2 linked regions of the Drosophila melanogaster genome follow. The gene in region 1 interacts genetically with each later gene. Each region holds a gene or a part of one and is shown on either strand. Other genes may lie near its edges. The genes, in order: sbb and Mer.

Region 1 (3,925 bases):
AAATTAAATCCACTTCAATAAATCTCAAAAAGGTAACAAACAAAATACAAAAAAAAAAAATAAATAATAAAAAAACCAAGCACACCAACCGGCCTGTCAATTTTCTAATCGCTCGAAATAACAAGAAAAAACTCCATTTAATTACAAATCGGCTTAGATTGAAACGCCTTAATTGGCATTAACTCGATGAAAAAAAAAAAATGTGTACACGAATACTTGTGCGGTAATTAATCAAACTGGAAATCAATTTAGGCTCATGCCCTCTCGTTCCCTCTCTTCTTTGCTCTCCTTCTGACTCAATAGGTATCTGTGCTGTGCGAGCAAGAGAGAAAGTGTGGAGTATCTTAGAGATGTGTAAACTTAAACAATAGAGATTTTATTGCAGCTAAATGTTGGCTCTTTGTTTATTAACTCTATTACAATTGTAAATTAAATTAATTAGATAGTCTAAATTCGATAATAATTACTGTAACTTACCTTTTTATAAATCCAAAATAGTCGCAATTTCTGCTCTGAATATGCGCGTTCCCGATTTATAGACAGCATCCAAAAGATGAAGAGAAGGCTCGGGGGTCGGGTGGCAATGAGCAGTGGGTGGCGATGGGCAGGTGATGATTCCTTTGCTTCCTGGCTTGCTCGCACCCACAGTGAGCGACTATCGTGAGGGGGGTTTGGGGAGAGAGTGAGAGAGCACGCGAGAGGGCGTAATAATCCACAAAAGAAACTCCCAAACTCCCAGCTCCCGGAGCTAACGGAAGGTGAAATGCAAATCCGCAAAATTTTCCTAGCAGCGCAATCTCAGGAATTATTTTCCATTTATGTAAGAGCGAGAAAGAGAGAGAGAGTCAAACTTGGCTTTTCTTTCTGCTTTTCACTGCTTCTGCTGGATTCTATTGCTGCTGCTTCTTTTTTCTGCTTGTTTTTCACTTCTTTGACACTTTTTGCATTTGCTTCTCTTTTCTATTTTTCTTTTTTTTGCGACAAATGTATGAACTTTTTTATGAGGTTAGTTGTTGTTTTTTTCTTTATTTCTCTACAAATACACGAAAAAACGGCACTTTGAGTAAGGCGAGGGAGGGAGACGACGAGAGAGGGAGCGCGTGTCCAAGCTCTGTTGCCTTTGCCTTCTCTCCGCCTGTACATATGTATTTGGCAGAACAGAAGCTGCTCCACCGCACACATACACGTGTACATGCATAGCAAGAGAGGCGGTGAACAGAGCTTGGGGCATAGAAAAAAAATACACGGGGGAGTTGTTGCACGACAGAGATACGGCAAGCGAGGGGAGAAGTGGACACGAAGAGAGACTATACGACCGACGGACTGACGCGACGCGACTTCACCTTGCACACGCGCGGAAATTGGCGAGAGCGACAAAGCGACGACGGGTTCGTCGTTTGTCGGCGTTCTTTTACCGCAATGTTTGTGCGAAACATAAAAAAGCTTTGCACATACACAGCGGCTGGCAGTGCGAGCGAGAAAGAAAGAGACAGAGAGGGAGAGCGCAATACACACACACACACACACAAGCACATGCAGTGGCTGTATAGTAATTTTATTCCGGTACTATTCAACTGATGAAGCTTCTGTTGCTGTTGTTGTTATTGGCAGCAACATATTGCCAGTGCCACACTCTCATTTTGGTTCGTCTCCTTTTCCTTTCTTTTTTTACTACTACTTTTTAGTAGTTTTCTTTTCCTTTTTTTTTGGCGATGATGATTACGCTGCTCTTTTAACACACAGAGATACACATACAAACGCACGCACAAGTCAGGCCCAAGTGGGTAATTTGTTTTATGAGTAGCGGCAAATAGCACTTGTGTATGATTGTCGCTCTCCTCCTTCTTCTCGTTGCTGTTGTTACTCTTCTCTTTTCATTTTTTTTTTCTGTTGTGAATGACAGACAGCTACGAGTAATAATTTTTAATGCGTTTTTGGCATTTCTACGTTGCTTTGGGTTAATTGCTTGAAACGCGACGAAACACTAAATCACGCACACACAGATACGCGGTACGACCAGAGAGCGAGAGGCCAACAACACTTATTATTTTGTTGTCGAGTTGAATTACATTAAATGCACATGAGGAAATCACACTGGGGAACAGCTTTGCTTACTTCTTTTCCACAGATTTTAGTCCTTCTTGCTTGTTGTTTTTGGGATGTTGTTTTTCTTAATTAAAGATAGAACCTGATCCGCTCAGTGTTTTTTATGTTTTTGTTTGGCGACAGCGTTTTATCCGTGCTGTCCGAACGAACCGAAGGAGCAACGCGTACAAAAGCGCATAAATTGAGAGGCGAGAGTTGGCTAGCAACGCGCAGGGTTGTCGGCTATATGGGGAAAAATAACAAATACATTTCGGTAATTATATGGTTCCGAAAGAATTCTTGTTTTTAGTCGAATGCTTCTCTGATATAGTTATCGCGATTTCAAACTCTTAAAAGCAATAAAGTTACAATTTACTAATAAAAAGATTATTTACTTGTTAATATTCTCAGCCACTTGACAACCCTGCGGCATTTTCTACACACACATCCACTGCTTACATCGCACACACTGGCATTCCCATGCACATACACAAACGGTCTCTGAGCGGCATTTCTTTAATGGCGGCTTTTTCGCTCTTGCTCGTGCGCTCTTAGTGCCCTCTCCCGCTCTCTTGCTCTGCCGACGCCATATTGCGCAGTTATGTATGTTCATCCCTTTCCAATTTGTTTACAGTGCCGTCGTGTGGTCTCTCACTTGTCCGCTGTTGTTGTTTGTGTTATTGCGTTTGTTGCTCTTGTTATTGCTATGCCTCTGCAAATTGTTTTTGGTGGGGTCCTGAGGATTGATTACTGATTGGCATGTCGTTCGCCTATAGTCAGTTGCCTTTTGTTGTAGTTGTTCTTCCTTTCCGTTTGCTCCTTCTTATTGTCTTTCACCTTCTCACCACACGCACGCTGGCAGGCACACGCACACACCTCACCACCACCTCCACCATCTCCTCGACCAAAGACCATTTCCTCCTTGTTTTTTTTTTTTTCGTTGGTGGGCTGGCGGTTGGGGGAGTAGCATATAATGACATAATGAGATTTATTAGGCGCAAAATAAAGCCATAATGTTCCATTTGACCTTTGTGTAACTTTGACAGTGGTAATTCTCGCCTTCCTGTGCCACCTTATTATTATTATGATGATGGGCAAGAAATATCCTTGCTGTATATACATACATACATATGTATACATTTACATATATAGGGTGCATTGCAGAACATGAGCATTTTCAATTCGTCGTCAGCATTTTGAAAGTTGCCTTTAGCAGTCGCCGATGCAAAAGGCAAATAAGTTCCACTCAGCCCAAGTTTCAGATCAGGAGCGCTTAGGTTAAGCTGGTACAAGCCTATTTGTTTAAATATTTGTATATTTGAGCACTGTATTACATTTGTCTTTTTTTTTTTTTTTTTTTTTTTTTTTTCGATGATGTTTTTATTATTTGATCAACGCACTGTTACCCATGCGGCAACTTAATTTGATCTGCTTAAATTATTTTATTTTACAATGTGTCTTGGTTACTTAAGACTAACAGATTTTTAATCCTAAAAATGATAGGGAGAATTATAATAGTTGATATAACATAGTAATTATTATTTATTTGATTATTCTAATGAATTTTAAAACTAAGACTTTCTAGGTCAAAACCAGGTTAGGGAGGTCATGAGGGTGGTGTCGCTTGAGTCTTCTTTTGACTCTAGTCCGAGGGTCAGCATTGACCACAGCTGCAGTTCCTAGCTTCCTTGCTAGGCTGTTGGGGTGTACATTAAGCCTTTCCATATATTTTTGGGCGATGTTCTGGAGCTTGTCTCCTAATTTGGGCACCTTGAGGTCGCGTTCGATGTCTCTTGTTCTCATATACCAAGGAGCCCCCGAAATTCTTCTTAAGGTCTTC
Region 2 (3,925 bases), on another chromosome or scaffold:
CTGCTCCTCGTTGACACGACTCTTTTCGAAGTACAGCTCCTTGGTCTCTTCGGAACGCCGCTGGGATACAGGGAGAAACTCAATATTATAGATCAGAAGCCACTGGGCGGAGTGAGTCTTACAAGTGCATCGTTGGCCATGCGCATTTCGTTTTGCAGGTGCTCCATGCTCTTCTCCAGCTCGTAGCGCTCGTGCTCCGCCTTTTCGCGCAGCTTCTTTTCCCTGATGAACTTTTTGCGTTCGATCTGGCGGCGTTGCTTCTCCTCCTTGGCTTGGGCCTTCATCTGCTGGATTTCCATGGTGTCGGGTTTGCGGCGGCGCATATATAGATCGTGATTGCCCTTGCACAGGTCAAGAATCTGCAAAGCACACGATGCAAGTGTAGTATGAATATGGGAACATGAACATAGTGAAAATACATATACATATTTCAGTTGTCACAACTGCCCTCCTTACCATTTTGTTGATGTGGAGGTCCTGCGAGTAAAAGATGAAATTCGAAACCTTGGCATCCACCAGGCGAATGGTGAACTTCTTGTCGTCGAAGCTGACGTGCCGTATCTCGTTCCACTGGAACGTTGTCTTTGGCGTTAGCTTATCGCGCTCATCGTAGATGTTTAGGCCCACGGAGGTGACGCCCAGCCACAATTTGGTTTTGTTCTTATTCTGGTGGGGAACACAAACGATAAGATTCAGATGCGCCACGTGAAAATCAAGGCTCTCACCGTAATAGGAAAGTAGTTTACTCCGTACATGTCCAGGTCCTGAGCAATCTTCAGGTACTCCATCTCCACCTCGTCGCGCGTCATGGGCTCATGGTCCATGTACCATGTCTTGATCCGTTCCTCCCACATTTCGGGCGTCATCTGGTACTGATCGGTCACTCCCTTGGGCAGAAGCTCACCCCCGGCCAGCATACCGTCCTTGTAGGTCTCGTAGTCGTACGGACCGTATTGCACGTGCACCGCGTAGGAGGCCAGCAGCACGGACGCCTCCGGGCGGCAGTAGATGTCCATGGAGAGGATGCTCTGCTTGACCTGCAGGAAGAACAGGTGCTGCGTGATCTCCTGGATCAGCTCCTCGCTGACGTTCTCCGGAAAGAACTTGGCGTAGAAGCTAAACACATACACATTATTGCTAGCGTGCAGCTCAACGCGCTGGTCGCGCACCCGCTTCTCCATTTTCAGCCAGGACACGTTGCTGCGGGTGTCGACGTACTGCAGCCCAAAGTACCAAGACTCGCGCAGCCCGATGGTGCGGCACACCAGGTCGAACAGATCCTGGCCGGAGGCGCGCGGCTCCAGCTTGAACTCCAGCTCCGAGTCGAAGGTGCTCACCCGCACCGACAGGGATCGGTTTTTCTTGGAGCCGAAGGGGCTCATCGCGATTATGTGATGTGTTTTGATTAGATTCGACGCAATGTGATGTGATGCGTTAGATGCAATTGGATTGGAGTGGGAACTGAGTGCTCTTGTGGGCAATTCGTGATAACCTGTTGCGTGCAAAGGACTTGTTGCTCCTGCTAATCTGATTCTTGGTCCTTCTGGTGCTCCTGTGCCATCTAGTGGCACGATTCCTTGTTGCTGCTCCTGCGGTCCTCGCCTATCGCGGACTGCCTCATTTTGCAGCCAATTCGGTGCTCCGGGCAATGGCAATGGCAATTTGGGCTGATGGCTGTGAGCGGAAAGAAAGAAAGAGTAAGGCTCTTCGTTTATGCGGCGCTGCGATTTAAGAACTGCGTGGCCACGGCATCCTGGCGCCCACTATTCAACCGCTCACCCAGCTCCTTTGGCGTGGAAGCTGATTGAGGGTCGGCAGAAGGGTCTCCACATCGACCAAGTACGAGAATAGGCAACTTACTCGATTGTTTGCACCGCGAATCGCAATTGTACGACAAATTCCCGATATGCGCGACATAAACATAGACAGTGTGACCAGCCGTTAGATGCAGAAAAATCAGCTTTGGCAGACGCCTTGTATATTTAGTAGGGTGATTCCATTTCAATTTTATGGAGGAATCATAATGCTTAAATTAATCCATCTCAAACGACATAAAGCATTGAAATGTCAATATATGCACATGAAAACATATTAAATACCTTAAAAATATATTAACTTTCCATTTTCCAAAAGTTTTCAAAAACTGGCAAAACAGTGGTAGTCCAAATACCAAAATATACCGCAATATGTTTTTTCAAATTGTACACTCATTTTTAGTTATACGAATTTTTGAATGCTGCGAAATAGATTTGATCAGCTATTTGATGAAAGATGAATTAACTAAAATAACACAGTGCTATATAGAGTTGCCACCCTGTCAATGGTCACGAATTGGGAAAATGAAGTCCTTGAGCGCAATATTTGTTTTAAAGATTTGTCTAAGGATGAGATGTATTACTATGTAAATGTTTATTGGACGTATTCTTGTATTGCAGGTCCATGCTTAAATTCTCGGAATAAGCAAAATGACCATGTCAGCAGATGCGTATATAAACAATGAATAAGTCCAGCTTTCGTTTTATCAGGTCCCTGTAGCTTATTTTCCATCTCCACCGACTCAGCAATGAACTTGTACCCCCCTGGATATCGTATTTCATCGAAATAGGAAAATATAAAGATATGGAGGTTTTCTTACATTATTCTTAGAATAAATTATACATGCAGGATTATAAATACATATTGAAGGGATGGTAACCGATGAACATAGTTTATATATATTCATGTGCGTGTTTGGGGGACTCTTAGCTCAATTTATACTACTATTATTATGTGTATGCATCAGGGGTGATGCTAATGCCATGCAAGTAAACAATGCTTATCACACAAACGCAAGTGACTCCAGACACGGATATCCGAATCCGTGCGCAGAGAAGACTGAACGGAGGCGAATTACTTTGAACCTAGAGAGAGTGTTGCTGCAGATAACTCGTGTTGGCACTTAAATGGCTGTGCCAGGACTTGGACTCGCACACCGGAATCCATGATCACTAGCTACTGGCTGCTCCGCTTGATGCGCTCGACATGCAGGTCGTACAGCATCTTGTTCTTCTCGTAGTAAAATGGGTTTTGTTCGGCTCCCAGTTCTGGGTTGTATTCGTATCCGGCCGCCACACCGTTTCCGGCTGCATCGGACCCGCCGGATCCACCAGTCGCTCCTCCTCCCGACAGTGGCGGAATGCTGCAGCTGCTGCTGCTGCTGCTGTTCCCATCCTCGTAGTTCAGATTCAGGTTGTTGATGCGCTTCGAAAGGGGCGACTCGCAGGCCAGTTCATCCTCCCGGCTGCGCTTTCTGTGGAGGAATGGTGTGCGTTTGATTAGCGCTGGGACCTCACTACCTTGGTCAAGGTGATTACCTTGTCTTCAGGAATCCAGCCATTCCGATCCCGGGGCCAGTGCAGTGTGTTGGTTTCGGTTCCTATTGGTCAATTGTTTTGTCCTGCCCCGTTTCACAGCAGCGACATCCACCAGTGTGACTGCCTCGAAGTTCGAAATTGGCTGTGGGATATACCAATGGGTTGTGCTAAATATACCGCTAATCGAGGTTTGTTTTTTCTTAAATGGAAATCACAAATAGCCAACCCAAACAGCAGATATTGTTAAGAAAACCGAGATTATATTGTATCCAAACAAATAGAATATTTTTGGGAGGGAGGGATAAAGTGAATCTAAAAGTTGTCTCAGTGACAAATAGCGCCAAGTGAGAATATTTTATACCCAACAATTACTTCACGATGACACGATGAATACAGCTGCGGTTAAAATAATAACACTACTGCAGGTGGAAAGTTGATTTACCAAAAAAAATAATTAAATGTTTTATTTTTTTAAGTCAGATTGCATGAATAATAAGAACCATATGTTGTCTCTCTGAGCAAGAAATTTTTACTCTCTCAATGTAACGGTTCTTTTTGTTTTTGGGCACTTG

What was found.
Region 2: of sbb (region 1) and Mer, changing one enhances a phenotype caused by changing the other (phenotypic enhancement), as found in Drosophila melanogaster (one study listed by BioGRID).

What each region holds. Positions count from the first base shown.
Region 1 is NT_033778.4:18,355,023-18,358,947, forward strand, and holds the start of sbb (scribbler), read right to left. Parts: upstream 2,275-3,925; 5' UTR 2,116-2,274; exon of another isoform or gene 1,034-2,115; 5' UTR 478-1,033; intron 1-477.
Region 2 is NC_004354.4:19,691,576-19,695,500, forward strand, and holds the start of Mer (merlin), read right to left. Parts: upstream 1,926-3,925; 5' UTR 1,861-1,925; intron 1,675-1,860; 5' UTR 1,383-1,674; coding exon 726-1,382; intron 667-725; coding exon 457-666; intron 360-456; coding exon 123-359; intron 61-122; coding exon 1-60. Other genes in the region: CG14229 (uncharacterized protein), read right to left, coding at 2,992-3,289, 3,354-3,376. UniProt on the Drosophila melanogaster protein: Regulator of the Hippo/SWH (Sav/Wts/Hpo) signaling pathway, a signaling pathway that plays a pivotal role in organ size control and tumor suppression by restricting proliferation and promoting apoptosis.